2 linked regions of the Elephas maximus indicus genome follow. The protein of the gene in region 2 purifies or fractionates together with the protein of the main gene of each other region. This does not show direct contact. Links are inferred from orthologs where the notes say so. Each region holds a gene or a part of one and is shown on either strand. Other genes may lie near its edges.

Region 1 (7,664 bases), on a different chromosome or scaffold from region 2:
CGGATGAGAATGACAACAGGCCCTATATCTGCTCCAGTTTTCTGCTACAAACTCCCAATCCTGCCTCTCCTTCAGCCAAAATCCATACACCAACAAGTGGTAAACCTGCTTTCAGTATTCAGTGCTCCATGTGTCATACCACTGCAGCCCTTTTCTATCTCCACATGTCCAAGGAGGTGTCCCATCAAGGGGAGAGGCTTGTCCTTAAAACTACAAGGGCAGGGAATAGCCAAGACTTAGACAAATTTAACCTTGGCCCCAAGCACAAAGTGTTCTGTTCTACTACTCCCAGACCTGACTGGAATCAGATGCCTATGTAGAAAATAATCTTATTTTGTACTTAGAAAAAGACGTTAGCCAACGAACCAGAGCATCCTTCAACTTAATTCCAGAGGAGAGGAGCCTCGAACACCGGACTTCACTCCACAGGCCACCTACAGGACTAGAATGGACCCAGGGCATAGGCTCTGCCTCTATGCTTCTGCTCCCTACTCACAAAGTCTCAGCCTTCAGCAGGTCATCCCTGGCCAGCACCATTAGCGAAAGAGCCATCCTTCCACTGCAGGAGAGGAATCCCAAAGTACCCTGGGCCACAGCCAGAGCAGGCAGCCTCTCAATCATTCTGCTAGAGAACTGAAGAGGCTTCATGGAGCCATGCAACACATGGGATCCCAAATGTGAGGGGTATGAATGAATTTCAGGATCTTAATTATGCAAACCTGTTCGAATCTTGGAAAGATCCTGTCTCTGAGCTACTCCCTCTTATTTTTTTTGCATCTAGGCAGCATTTCTAATCTCACCAAGTGCTGTGCAATCATCTTTATTCATCATTACATGCTGGCCAGTCTCTGAAGCTAAGTACTGGCCTGGTTAACAAGCTTGCAGCAGGAAGAAAAAAAAAAAAAAGTTGCCCAAACTAGTCTTAGTCATTTGCACACGCTTCAATACCTTTCACATTCAGCACCATCCTTTATCGCCACTTGGGTAACAGACAAAAACAGTTGCCTGAGTCTGTGGAGGGATTTCTCCTCACACTCAAAGGAGACCTGAACAAACAGCATGACAGAGCCAGACCCAGTTTTCTCAAGATACACTTCAACAGAGTTCCTCCCAACACATATTTAAACATAGAGGCACAATCAGAATGGCTGGTTAAGTTAGCAAGAGCTGCTTTCCAGTCAGAGGCTCTCCAAAAACTCCTCTCAACCAAAGAACAGTTTTCCTGCCAGACAGAAGCGCACCGCCAGCCACACCTCCTCCTGGCTGCCCAGACAGAGGCAGGCTGCTCCCCATGGCCCTCCCTGAGGAGCAGGTGGCTGGTCCCAAGGCCCCGATGGCATTCTCCCACCAGCACAGGGGGCAAGCCTCAGCTCTGCACAGCCTAGCGACTGCCATCTCCAGAGGAAGTAAGCCATACTCGTGGAGGAGAAAGATTCAGTCCCAATGGGAATGGTAACCAGCCAAGACATCCACTCTCTTCCACCTTGGAGTCTACCTGCCCCTTTGGCCACACCCCAAGCAACTAGCTGTCTGAACTGTCTTTCAGGACCCACTGAAAGGGAGCATCTAATACAGTCCCTGTATGAGTGTGGTGCTGGACTCAACCAATTCCTCAGTCAACATTTGGCCCAGAAAGACCAAGAGGATGGGCTCTTTTCCAGAGTCCCAGTAACACCTGTTTTGCCCAGAGGCTGTAGGAAGAGACAGGTTGCAAACAGGGATGGGAAACTAGAAAAGATCCATTCCTACACCAAGCGTAACCCATCTGTAACCCAGCCTGATCCTCAGCAGAACTACTTGAGGAATATCAGCTGCCCTGAGAAACTAATGCCTGAGTCCTGAAATGGGTGGCCAGAAAGCACTGCTTCCCTCCCTGCCCAGCCCCAGGTCTCCGTCATTTACTTCCTACTGGAAGTGGAAAGCTGTGGCCCTTTCAATCCTGAGCCAAACCATGGATCTCCTTAGCTTGCTCCTGTTCTAGCCAATGTCCCAGAGCAAAGGAGCTGCAGAGCCAGAGGGAGCTCTGCACAGAGGAGGAACACTGTGCAGAGCAAGCAAAAAGTTTATCAGGAAGAGTGCTGGTCAAACTTCAAAAGCAAAAGTTTTACTCGGGTATTACGTAGGAGCTCAACGAGAAGGTATGAAAAGGAGACCTCATCTCTTCACAAACACTACTCTTTCAATGGGCTGCCCTCCTAACTCTCAAGAAGGCCCCCAGACCCGCCCCTATCCTATGCAGTCGCCCCTATACTAGGCAGTCTCACGCCCTCTAATCTCCTCCAGCCGAGCTCCTCCAAAGCCCTCTCCTATGCTCCCCAGGCCCCGCCTAGCCTTCCCCATCCCACTTCAGCCGACCCCCATCCTTAGCTTCCCCTATTCCACTAATGACCCCCTACTGGCGCGCTCTCCTTTCACCACGTTTACAGTTCCCTCTCTCATAACGCACCCCTCTCTGCTCCTTCACACACCCCAGTTCTTACTCCATTTTAATCTGTTAACCTTTCATCCTCCCCTCCTCCGTTAACCCTTCACTGCCCACAGGCTCCGTTAACCCCTTTGTCCCCATTCCCAACTTGTGCCTTAATTCTCCCCTCGCAGCAGGAAGTCCTCCTTGCAAGTGCTTTAACCCTTCTACTCCTCCTCCTCTCTTCCCCTGCAAATTTCTTCGTTCCGGCGCTTTAACCCTTCCCAGCCCCCTTGTCCGTCTCCCCGCGGCCCAGGGCATACCAGTATTTGACGATAGCAGTAACCTGGAGCGGATTCGGCTGGTCGGGGTAAAGGCGGCGGCACTCTCCGTAGATGGCATGCAGTCCCGGGGGGAAGAGCGAGGCGAACGCCGGGGGGGCAGAAGGGCCAGGGGCTGGGGGCGCGGTGGGGCCGGGGGCGCCGCTAGGCCGCAGCTCCGCCATTGGGGCACGTAGGGTGCTGGGGGAGCCGGGTAGGGAGGGTGAGGGGGAGAGCACTGACTGGCCAGCGGGCGGACTTCTTGGGTGCGACTCCCCGAGGCAAAGGGGGCTGCAGCGAGGTCTAGTGTCTGCGCCTGCGCACTACACACTGTCCGCCCAGGCCGCCGCCGCCGCAGCCTCGGAGTCGGCCAGAGGGTGCCTGGGGGCTGCGGAGCTCTCAAATGGGCGGGCCGCAAACGCGTCCTATGCTGACATCTATTGGCTAGCGTCTGTGCCAGTCACAGGTGAGAAAGGCGTGATCTGACAATAGGCCCCGCCTTCTCATCGCTGAGTTGGGGGTGTCCCAAGGCTCTTGGTCTCCCCCTAGTGTTGGGAGGAAGACATGTTTAAATAGAGACATTGAGGGAGGCAACCCTGTGAGGTGCTAGGGTCCCACGAAAGGCACTGTGACGTGATCTCACCTACGGTTAGGTTAGTAGCTTACACGCTACTAACCAAGATTTAAATAAATCTGACAGTATATTGGCTCACTCGTCCGTGTGGCATTAGTTTTAATAGATTAATTAATCCAATGTTTCCTACTATTTTTGAACGTCCGTGGACGTATTGACTGACACTGTTAAAACCCATTGCCGTCTAGTCGATCCTGATTCACAGGGATCCTATAGCGACCAAATTCAGGGAACTGAAGTTGAAATAAGTCCCCAAAACCCATACCGTCGTGTCGATTTCGATTCATAGCGACTCTGTAGGACAGAGTGGAACCGTCCCTTAGGGTTTCTAAGGCTGTAATCTTTACAGAAGCAGACATCTTTCTCCCAGCGAAGCCGCTGGGTGGATTGGAACCGTCGACCTTTAGGTTAGCAGACGAGCGCTTAACCCCTGGGCCACCAGGGCTCCTAAAATAAGTCAACAAGTAATAAATACTTTTTGGCATACTGTCAGAAAGTAAAGGTGCCCTGGTGGCCCAGGGGTTAAGCATTTGGCTGCTAACCAAAAGGTCTGGCGGTTCCAACCCACCCAGCGGCTCCGCTGGCAGATAGATGTGGCAATCGGCTTCCCTAAAGATTACAACCTTGGAAACTTTAAAGGTCAGTCGTACTCTGTCCTATAGGGTGTCTATGAAACGGAATCAACTCCAGGGCTACAGGTTTGTTCAGAAAATAACAAGAGTTGGTTAAACTAGTGTCAATTTATATGACTTAGTAATTCTTTAATAAATGTTTTTAATGATAATTTCGTTCTTTGTTCTGCTTTAAGGAGATGTATGCAGTTTGCTTTGAGGAATACCAATATTCATTATCCACTATGGGCCTGTCCTTTCCCATTATCTTTACTCTCTGTATCTGGGAGAATTTTCTTTAATTTCTTAGGCACGAGGTGGAAAATTATTTTCCTGTTTACAATAACTCTTCATTCAGTAACACTTTCATTCAATGATCTTGAAGGAGTGCCAAGATAAACGGATAGGAGGGAGTGGCTACCAGTGCTATTGACCAAAGGGTCTCTGCAACTTTAACAGAAGGATGCCCTAGAGAAAACAAGAGGAAAATGCAGTGTTTATTTAAGAGCAGTAACACATAACCTCTCTTCACCTCTGTTTCCTCACCTATCAAAATCTTGTCAATTCTAGCTCCTGTAATGATACTAGAGAAGCAGCTGAAATCCTTGGATGAACAATATTTTAATAACCAAAAGATCACCTTTACCAGTAGTTCCAAATGCCAGTCTTCAGACCAATGTCAATCTGTTACTAAATTTACGCCTATCCAGGAGAAAACGGGAATAGTAACCACAATGTACTGCTTTTCTCTTGTAGCAAATTTTTATGGAATTTAAATGATTTCCTTTGTTCTGAAAATTTGCAGTTTCTTGTGTGTGTATATGTGTATTAAAATGACCTTTCTGTTCAAGTTTGATGGTGGTAGATGTTTGTTTTTTAAAGTCTTAAAGACCCAAATAAAAACATGGCAGCCTTATTTTGTCCAGGTGAGGTGGGGGTGGAGTGGGCAGTACTGATCTGTAAAAACCACATTCACGAATTACTGACCAATGCTAAACGAAATACAGACAAGTACTCAAGAAGACTACACACTTCGGCATGCACTGCGAAACCTTTCAAAGGGACTACAAATCCAAGAATGCAACACAGGCATCAATCGGCGTCTCCATCTATTTTTTTAACGGAGACTACAAACCCCAGAGTATGTGCGACGGAAATGCGGACGCTCAATCCATGTTTAAGAGGCGGGTCTCCAAAACGGGCCTTTTAGCAAACCCCGGCGCAAAGCATGCTGGGGATTGTAGTTCTTTGGAGGCGAAATCGGACCCCTTCCCTGGCCGCCCTATACCGGCGGCTAGACTGCGCATGCGTGTCAGCGGCGTTAGCAGCGGACCGGGCTGGCAGTTCTTTCCTCGGAAGGAGAGATTCCTCTACGATGGAGTCCTACGATGTGATCGCCAACCAGCCTGTCGTGATCGACAACGTGAGTTGCATCTTTCCTATTTCTAAAGGGACTTCTGCTCTCTTCCCCGAAGGGATAGCTTCCCGGGTTTCTGCCCGGCTCTTTGTCACTGGCCCGGCCTGTCAGGCGGGTTCAGCCGCCGTCGCCAACGTCCTCCCCCACCCGTAGTTCGTAGGCAGGGCAGCCAGGCGGCAACCGTGGGATAGAGAACTCTGGAGTAGGCAAAGGAAAGAGCTGTAGTCCGAGCCGGGTCGGTGGGCCCTTGGCTCGAGGGGCCTTAACCGCTCTGTGAACACCGGCGCCTGCCCTGTCCCCAGTGCTTGTTAATTCTATTGGCTGCTCTTGCTGTCTATCTTGACTGGTGACCCCGCCTCTGGGCCTTGCCGGATGAGGACAGCCCTCTGCAGTGATTGGCTCACGCTCCTGCCGTTCTTCCGGGCCGCCTTAGTGTTTCCCTTCTCTAAGGGGCGGGGCGGTGTACCAGCGCTGTGGGGATTGGCTTCGGGAACTCAGTGGCACTAGAAGGGCGAAGGCCCGCCTGCGGGTGGAGGAGAGGGGCTGTTTCCTGCGGCCCCGAGCGGGCGGGGCAGCATGGTGGTGTATCTGGGTGGGGCCCGAAAATCTGATGCCAGAAATGGCCGTAGAATTTCAGTTATTTCTATAATTATAAAGTTAATAAAGGCCTAGAAGAAATGAGAATGACAAAGCAAGCTGGGAGATGCCTTTCTATTTGGAACGCCTAATTGTTGACGGAAAAAATTAGCTAAACATAATATTTGCAAGGCTCTCCAGCGCTTACAAGGCGCTTTCATATACATTCGAGTTGGATGCTCACAAAAACTAGGCGGATAGTTAAGGCAGGAAGTTTGATCCTCATTTAATAGTTGAGAAATCTGAAGCGTGAGCCCAAGGTCACACAGGGCTTGACCGGTTATTCCTTTTGCTGGCACCCACGCAAATGCATCAGTAGTGACAAATGGAAAGACTCTGAATACTACTTTTATGGGGAAGGAGGGGCAGTTGTAAAACAACGGCATCTCTGTCTTCAGCTCAAGGGTGATGGTCCCACTAAGATCAGTTGATACCTCTCTGTGCCTCTTCTTGTTGTTAGCTGTGGTGGAGTCTGTTCCGACTCATGACAACCCCAAGCGTGCATAGTAGAATTGCTCCATAGGGTTTTCAAGGCTGTGACCTTTTGGAAGCAGATTGCCAGGCCTTACTTTCCAGGTGCCTCTGGATGGGTTTGAAGTTATCAATCTCCTCAGTCCTAACTGATTCGCCCTGTTGAGCCAGCTCTTGGGTACAGCGTCGCCTTGTTTAAACTTCTCCCCTGCTAGGTAAGTAGGAATTATTTTTCTCAGTTTATGCAGAAAACTGAGGCTTGGAGAGGTTAAATAACATATTCAAACCACCTGGCCTGTGAATTAAGGCACCAAGACTCAGACTGAGATCTGGTTCCAAGTTCCTCACTCTTTCCAAGGAAAGGTTATTTTTGTTCGTTTTTCTTCTCTCGGATGGGTGTGGCTTCTGCTTTGTTTGAGCTCAATGAGGCACCCCTTCTGGGAGAGTTTTTTTTTTTTTTTTTTTGTCTCCACTAGACTTTGAAATCCTTGTGGAAAAAGAATGATACTCCTTTATTTTTTATTACTCTCCCGTTTCCATATACACAGTACCTAGGGCAGTGCCTGGCACACACTATGTGCCCAATAAATGTTTTTTCATTGGACTGATGGGCAGGTGGTTGAATGAATGAACATCTCTTATCACAGTAACAAAGATGTTCCTAAATAAAGGATGGCAGGGAGCCCCCATTATTTACTGAGAGGGTTGAGCAGGACTCCTTGTTCGTGATGCTGATTTCCAGAGAACACTGCTACTTCAGTCTTCAGCCAGTCTGTGTTTCATCTGCCTTTTGCTTAGTTAGAAAGAAATTAGCAATTGGCAACAATTTCCTGTTTTCATCAGCAGTACAGAGGAGCAGTCCAGCCATCCAACCCAGGGGATCCTTTGCTTCTTGAATGGCTGGGCAGGAGTTCTGTCTCCAGCCAGTCTCTTTAATGTTGTTTAAACTAATGCGTCTTAGTTTCTCCTTTGTCTTTCCTGGTAATGTATTTGAAATGCATCAAAGCAGTGGTGCATTTTCAGTTTTAATGTTTAAAGGATTGACTTTTCTCTGGGAAAACATTTCCTTCATTCTGCCAGTAATTCTGCCAAAAGGTGAAGTAGGAGCTTAAGTCATTTTCTCATTAGGACTTCCCAAATATCTGCCACATTTTTAGATTTGGAGCCTTGG
Region 2 (7,626 bases):
GACTCCTATTTATGTTATCTTTCTCTTCCTACTGGCTTAACCATTCTCCTCAAGCAGAAGTTACATTGGTTGCCAATCCACTAGTTACCCACACATTTCCAACTTCAAGGCTCGCTACACTCTTTCATCATCTTCCATCTCTATCCTACTAGCCTGTTCTCTCCCTTATGTTATTCTTCCCACTGAGGCCATTATGGCTGTTATTCCCTTCTCCCTACCGGTTTTATCAAAGTCTGAAGAGGTGGTAAGCTGAGTGGCAGACATGGCAGACATCTCCCCACTGCTAAGATTCGAAAGATCAAGGCAACGTTTTGGGGTTCCTCTGTCGAGACATAATAGAACATCAAAATTCCCATTAGGTTATAACATCCTTAAATGAAAAAAGCATAACATCCTCATTTGCAACACTCCTCAATAACTGTTACAAAAATCTGAACAGTGTCCAAATAAATCTAGTAACTTTTTGGGAAACATTTCAGATTAATAATGAAACAAGAAGCCCTGGTGGCACAGTGGTTAATCTAACTGTGCCAAATGAAAGGTCAGAGGTTCAAACCCACCAGCCAATCGGTGGGAGACAGTCTACTTCCATGAAGATTACAGTCTTGGAAATCGTATGGGGGATTTCTAATCTACTCCATTTTAGAGGGTCAGTTTGAGTCAGAATTGACTTGATGGCAATTTTTTTTTTTAATTGTGCTTTAGGCGAAAGTTTACAGAGGAAATTAGTTTCTCATTAAATAATATATACATTGTTTTGTAACATTGGTTGCCAAACCCAGGATGTGTCAACCCTCTCCCCTTCTATACCCCAGGTTCCCTATTTCCATTCATCAGTTTTCCTGTCCCTTCCTGCCTCCTTGTCTTTGCTTTTGGGCTGGTAAGCCCATTTAGTCTCACGTACATGGTTGAACTATGAAACATGTTCCTCATATGTGTTATTGTTTATTTTACAGGCCTATCTATTCATTTTCCTCAAAAATCCTGTGGTTGAAGGAGCAGAGCGTGTCCTTTGGACCAGGGATCCCTGTGCCTGAGAAGCTCCTTGACCAGGGGAAGAGTGAAGACAAGGACCTTCCTCCAGAGCCAACAGAGAGAGAGAACCTTCCCCTGGAGCTGACGCCCTGAATTTGGACTTTTAGCCTACTTTACTGTGAGGAAATAAATTTCTCTTTGTTAAAGTAAGAAAAAAAAAAAAGTCTTCTGGTTGAAAGGTGAACTTCAGGACTGAGTTAAAATAGTGTCCAGGGGCCATATTCTCTGGGTTTCTTCAGTCTGTCAGACCAGTTAGTTTGGTCTTTTTTTGTGAGTTTGAATTTTGTTCTACATTTTTCTCCCGATCTATTCAGGACTGTGTATTGTGATCCCTGTCTGAGTGGTCAGTGGTGGTAGCCAGGCACCACGTAGTTGTGTTGGACTCAGTCTGGTGGAGGCCTGTGGTAGTTGTGATCCATTAGTACAGCAATGGGTTTTTTGGTCTGGTAATAATGGGAACTAGGCTGAGAAAAATGTTTCACCTTTTCTTTACTCCAATAACCTGTATCTCAATTTCCCCTCACCAACATATTGAGACAGGATAATTTTTTTTTTTAATTGAGGCCCAAAGTTTATTGATCTACAGGTCTTGATCTTATGTCCTCTCCCCTGTGCACCATGAGGACACAGACTTGATTCCTCCCTGGGTTCTGTAGTACTTTTCAGCTCTATAAATCTTCAACTTCATTTGGTAGCTGAGGCATCTGGACACGAACATCGCCAGAATTTAAAGTGCAAGAACACACACACATATTGATTCCGACTCATAGCGACTCTATAGGCCAGAGGAGAACTGCCCCATAGCGTTACCAAGGAGCGGTAGATGGATGTGAATTGCTGACCTTTTGGTTAGTGGCCGAACCACTGTGCCACCAGGGCTCCAAGTACAAGTACGATAACACTAATAATAAAGTGTGCAAAGACTTCCCCAGACATCACGTCATTAGATTCTCACCCAATCCTGGTAAAATAGGAAGAAACTGTTATTCCCAGATCACTGAAAAGAAGCCTGAGATTCAAAAGGGTCACAGTTAGTCAAGTGGCAGAGGTGAGACTTAGACCCTTTTCCTAGGGCCAGGATAATTTATAAACAAACTAGAAAAGCAAGAGAAATAAAGTGTGACTATAAAAGTGAACTTACCCAGACAAAATGCTTAGGTTTCCAGAATCAACCAGGAGTTTGTCCACCGGAGTTCTAGGGAGACCTGGACACTTGGTAAAGGAAGTCTCTCTCTCCAGCAGCAGGTTTAACCTCTTCCTTTGATTGGATCTAAAACTGGGTCCTGAACCAGCGCCTTCCTCCTCTCTTGTGGATGAGAAGGGATTTGCAGACATGGGCTCTAAGTTCTCACCAAGAAAAAATTAAACCAATATAAGAGGACAAGGTCATCTATGTAGGTGCATCACTGATACATCACAGCTTTCACAACAACCTCCCTAACCCTTTCCAGCAGCGGTCAAGCAAATCAGTATTGGAGTACGGGCATACCCAAACGGTGATCTTTTTGGTGGATCCTAACTTACCGAGAGGCAACTCAGGGCTTTAAAGATGGGATGAAGAAAGGCCTTTGATTTGTTCCCGGCCACACAGCTAAGCGAGTCCTAACCGGAACTCAGGTCTCCTAATTCGCGATAATGCCTATCAGGTCCTCCCGCCTTAGGTTTGCGGGGTCCCGGCTGGACCCGGAGGAGACAATGGGGTCTCCGTGACTCCGTGGCGTAGATGGCTCCGGGCCTAGGTCTTTTGGGTCCTGAGCCTTGTCTTCGCGAGGAAAGGATCGGCCACAAGCGAAGCCTCGAGCAGAATTAAAGAAAAGAACAAACTGGGGAAAAGAGGCGACTAGCCAGACTATTTTGCTCTTCAGCTGGGTAGGCGGGGGCCAGGCTTTGCAAGTTCTCTCGGCAGAATGGAAGTTACAGTCTCAGTGCAAGAACACCAACAGCCGTAGACCTTGACCATTCAAACCTTCCGCCCTCCCCAATAACCTATCCACGCTTGCCTCTAAACTGCGTCAGCCGATCTCGGCGTGCCCGCCTAGACGTCCTCAGCCAATCGTACATCACCTCTGGGCGTGCGCTTGCTCTGGAAGAGCAATATTTGCCCCGCCCCTGGATCAGAGCAGCCCGGCGATTGGCCCACCAGCTTTAGACAGGAAAAAAAAAAAAAAAAAGCTGGATAAGCCCCGCCCCACAGGGAACCTGGAGCATTATTGGCCCTCCCTTTGACCAATCGCCACATCCTTCCTTCAGTCTGCCCGCAGCCTCACCAACCCCGGGAGATTTAAATTGCGACCACTCGCTGGCCTAATAACACGAGCGTTTTTTTTTTTAGTTTAGATGGGAGAGTTTGGAGAGCGTCTCTTTTTTCTTGCTTTTTTTCTCGTGCTGTTACGCGGACCTTTCCCTTCTAGCTTTTCTAGCTTTCCGCTGGCGATGGAGCATTTGCCGCCGGCGTGGCAGGTGTTGGGAAGAGACAGGTGTGTGTGTTTATGCAGAGCGGCGTCAGCCCCTCCCAAGAGTTTCGGTGACCCTTTTTAGGGGTAGCATCTGAGACTCTATGTAGGGTAAACAGGAATTCCTTTGCTGGGAGAATAGGAAAGTTGAATAATTTCTTGGCATAATCCTTATCACAGTTCAAAGAATTCAGTCTTTGTTATGGAAATTTGTCTTGACTAAGTGGTATTAAAGGAGCTTTGGTGGCATAATACGGAGAGCCTTGGTGACGCAGTGGTTAAAAGCTTGGCTGCTAACCAAAAGGTCGGCAGTTCGAATCCACCAGCCGCTCCCTTGGGAACCCTATGGGGCAGTTCTACTCTGTTCTACGGCGTCGCATGAGTCGGAATCACTCCACGGCAACGGGTTTCCTTCTTTTTGGTTGGTGGCGCAATGGTTAAGCGCCTGGCTGCTAATGAGAAGGTCGGGGGTTTGAACCTAAATCTTTAGGCAGTCTGCTCCCTGAAGATTTCAGCCTAAGAAACCCTGTGAGGCAGTTCTGTTCTGTCATATAGGGTCGCTATGAGTTGGAATCCAGTCGACAGTACACAACAGCTGATACTAAGTTATTCATAATTTGGGGGATTTGCTTTTAAATAATGGGGTAGGGAAAACCGGTGTGTATACATGAAACAAATTGGCCATGAGTGATGGGTGATTGGTACACGACGCCCACTAGTACTTGTCAAAGTTTAATGTGCATTCTAACCACCTGGGATCTTGTTAAAATGCAGATTCTGACTCCCTAAGTCTGGGTTGGGGTCCAAGATTCTGCACTGCTAACAAGGTCTTAGGTAATGCTGATGCAGCTAATCCTAGGACTATACTTTGAGTAGCATTTAAAAAAGAAAAAACATTGCTGTTGAGTGGATTCCGACGCGTAGACCCTACAGGGCAAAGTAAAACTGCCCCATAGGGTTTCCAAGAAGTGGCTGGTGGATTCAAACTGCCCCAAGGCATTATGCTATTCTCTTCACTGCTGTGTATTATTTGAAATTTCCCATAAAAGTTTAAAATAAACTTGTAAGCTCTTGAAAATGCAAGAGCCCCAAATACTGATTCAATAGGTCTGAAATGGGGCCCAGGAATGATCAAGGCCCCCAGGTGCTACCAAAGCAGATGGTTCGCAGACCACACTTTGAGAAACATTAAGTCAGAAATGCAACTTTATCTTTGAGAAAACAATAAGTCAGAAATACCACATTTATCTGGTGTCAGAATCTTGGTGGTGGTGGTGGCTGAGAAGCATTGTAGTCAGCTGGTTACTCCCTGATACTCCCTTCATCTGTAGAATCTGCTTCTCTAGAAAGGAGATGTGTGAGGAGTCTTTGTCTTCTGGGATACAGATGGTGAATGCAGGAGTCAGCACAGAGTCACGCCATGCCAGGTGAGTTTGCAAATCAGGCTGGGAATTAAGAGAGTATGGGATGAGTTGGTTCTGCTTTGGTGACTATAAATCACACTTTGTGGGGCACTGTGTACTTCCCCACAGTAGAGACATATGACATTGTCCTGCAGCGACGGCAAAAGCAGATAGATTATGGCAAAAGCACACCTGGCTACCAGGGCTTTCTGCAGCAGGTCTCCACATGAGTCTCATTGTGGGGTGGTCACAACAAGGGTGCCCACCAAGTTGCTTTGGTTCAGAGGATGGAAAGATACTAGGATCTGAGTGTTTTGAATGTGCTCACAAAGTTGCAGAACTACTAAATTTCTTGTAATCTAGCCCTAATATTTCCAAGGTTTTTTTTTTTTTCAAGTGGAACATACTTGGTCCATTGGCTTTTTTAAAAAATTGATTGTGGTGAGATATATATTTCAACAATTTTCTGTCTACAATTCACTGACATTAATTACATTCACCATGTTGTGCAACAATCATCATGTTTCCAATTTTTTTCACAGTCTTTAACAAAAATTCTGTATCTCTTAATATCCCCGATTTTCCTCTCCCACCCGCCCCTCCATGTGACTTTTTAAAGCTCTATCTGTGTTTCCTAATGAGGTGGTTTTCCTTCCAACCATTTTTACCATCGTCTTCTTATGCCTCCTCTTGACTTGGTAATTGCAACATACTTGCCTAAGTACATGTAAATTTACACACACTCATAGAAATTAAATGCATGAAAATGAACATTTGTTTTAAAGGGAAGTCAAATATTTTATGTCTACCTTGATTTCCAAGAATATATCTAATTTACCCTTTCCAGAAGAAAGGCTATTAGTGAGGCTGAAAGTTTGGTGTATAATCTGAAGATCTACTTTTTCTATTTGATTGAGGACACTGGTCTTACTCATTCTCAGGGAATTTCTAACTAGGCTCCTGATTCATTGTGATAAGTAGTGAGCTGTGCCCCCTGCTATACAGGGCCCCCTTTCATATTGACCTCAGCCTGACCCACATTTGTTGTTGCCAGGGCACAGCGACAGCCAGGGCTTCAACCTCAGACGCCAAACAAGAACAGACAGTACAGCCATCGCTCCTGGGATGCCCAGAACAGGCACTGGAGAAGAGCCTTGCATTCCTGGGATCCGCCCAGTCAGCCCCTTCAGGGCAGGGCTGCTCTGGGGTGTGCTGACTATTTCTGGTTCCTTCAGTGAGTGGTGGGCTGAGCCCCACATCTCCCCACTTTGCAGAGGTTTATCTTTCACTGCGTGAAAAGGGAGGGTCTGAATAAAAGGCATGTTCCTCTGACTCTGCTGCCTTCCTAGACAGGGAATGGAGAGTCTCTTAGAGCCAATGGACTCCACCCCTTTGGACAATCTACTGGATGACTGGCTCCAGGCCCTGAAACTCTTCGAGAATCTGGATGGAGACCAGGTAGTATACTCTGCTGAAACTCCCTGGAGCAGGGTCAGAGATGAGGTCTAGCCCAAGGGCACAATTAAGACGAAGTTCAAGGTAGCATCCCAAGAACAAAAGGAAGCAGCTGGAAAAAAAAATAACAGGTCATGACTTAAAAACTTGAGAACTAAGAGAAGGGTATAAGGAGATTTAAAAGGAGCCCTGGTGGGACAATGGTTAAGTGCTTGGCTGCTAACCTAAAGGTTGGTTATTCAAACCCACCCAGTGGCTCCATGGGAGACAGTCTGCTTCCATAAAGATTACAGCCTTGGAAACCCTATAGAGCAATTCCATTCTGTCACATGTGGTCACTATGAGTCGAAATCGACTCGATGGCACCTAACAAGAAGGAGATTTAACTATAGTTAGTAATGGAGGTGGAGCTTTGGGCTATACTGAGTGCTATTTTACCCTTGATGAAAGAGGGGGTATAGCCTTCCTTTGAGGCCTGAAATCTGCTCAGTTTTTGTTTGATTTTGTTTTTTAACGTCTCAAATTCTTTCAATGTTTTACAAGTTAGCCAATGCTAACTTAACTTCTTTTACTCAGTCATTTAACTTTTGTAAGCACGGATAATTTAAAAAAAAAAGTGGGGGGTATATAGCCTAGTGCTTTACATAACCAGGGCTTTAGAGGCTCATAATTGGTTCTTTGCCCACCACTTGGGCACTCAACCTCTTGGGCTGTTTATTGTCTCATTTGGTGATTGTAAGCAAAAATGAGAATACATTATTTAAATTATATAGCACCGTGCCTGGCACATATAAGTGCTTCACAGCTATTACTGAAAACAGTGTCTCCTATGCTTCATGGTCCCTGCCTCTGCTTCTTTTTCACCAAGGGGAAATGTGCATGGCAAGGTATATCCCCCTCCCACTTTCTTATAAATACCTCACTTTTCCTTTATTCTTTTTCAGTTAGCTGACTTTGTGGCTCCTGCCTCCTCCCTTCCATGGCTCAATGAGGAAGATCCCTACAATGACTACTTTCTAGCTGAACACAGCTAATTTACCTGTACCACTCCTGAGTGGGGCACAAAATATTTACAGAAAACAGATGTCTTTCAGGGGACTTACTTGCATTACTACCACTTTCCAATCAATTAGAAATCTAAAACTCTACCCTACAAAGGGATCACAACCCAAAGGCATTGTTTAAAACCTCTTCTTTTTCCATCTGTTTGCCTGTCTCTCTGAACCATCTTTGATGCTAGCTGAGACTCAAATTTACATAAGAGCCAGAAACCATCTAAC

What was found.
Region 1: the proteins of CDC25C (region 2) and SUFU purify together in Homo sapiens (affinity purification with mass spectrometry; 4 studies listed by BioGRID and IntAct, counting the BioPlex papers as one, with this or other methods). This does not show direct contact. The link is inferred for Elephas maximus indicus from reciprocal best matches to the Homo sapiens genes CDC25C and SUFU.

The regions. Positions count from the first base shown.
Region 1 is NC_064834.1:54,066,456-54,074,119, reverse strand, and holds the start of SUFU (suppressor of fused homolog), read right to left. Parts: upstream 3,103-7,664; 5' UTR 2,910-3,102; coding exon 2,728-2,909; intron 1-2,727. Other genes in the region: ACTR1A (alpha-centractin), read left to right, coding at 5,345-5,392. UniProt on the Homo sapiens protein: Negative regulator in the hedgehog/smoothened signaling pathway. Down-regulates GLI1-mediated transactivation of target genes. Down-regulates GLI2-mediated transactivation of target genes. Part of a corepressor complex that acts on DNA-bound GLI1.
Region 2 is NC_064820.1:151,423,281-151,430,906, forward strand, and holds the start of CDC25C (M-phase inducer phosphatase 3), read right to left. Parts: upstream 3,096-7,626; 5' UTR 2,560-3,095; intron 2,383-2,559; exon of another isoform or gene 2,376-2,382; 5' UTR 2,371-2,375; coding exon 2,177-2,370; intron 323-2,176; coding exon 219-322; intron 1-218. UniProt on the Homo sapiens protein: Functions as a dosage-dependent inducer in mitotic control. Tyrosine protein phosphatase required for progression of the cell cycle. When phosphorylated, highly effective in activating G2 cells into prophase.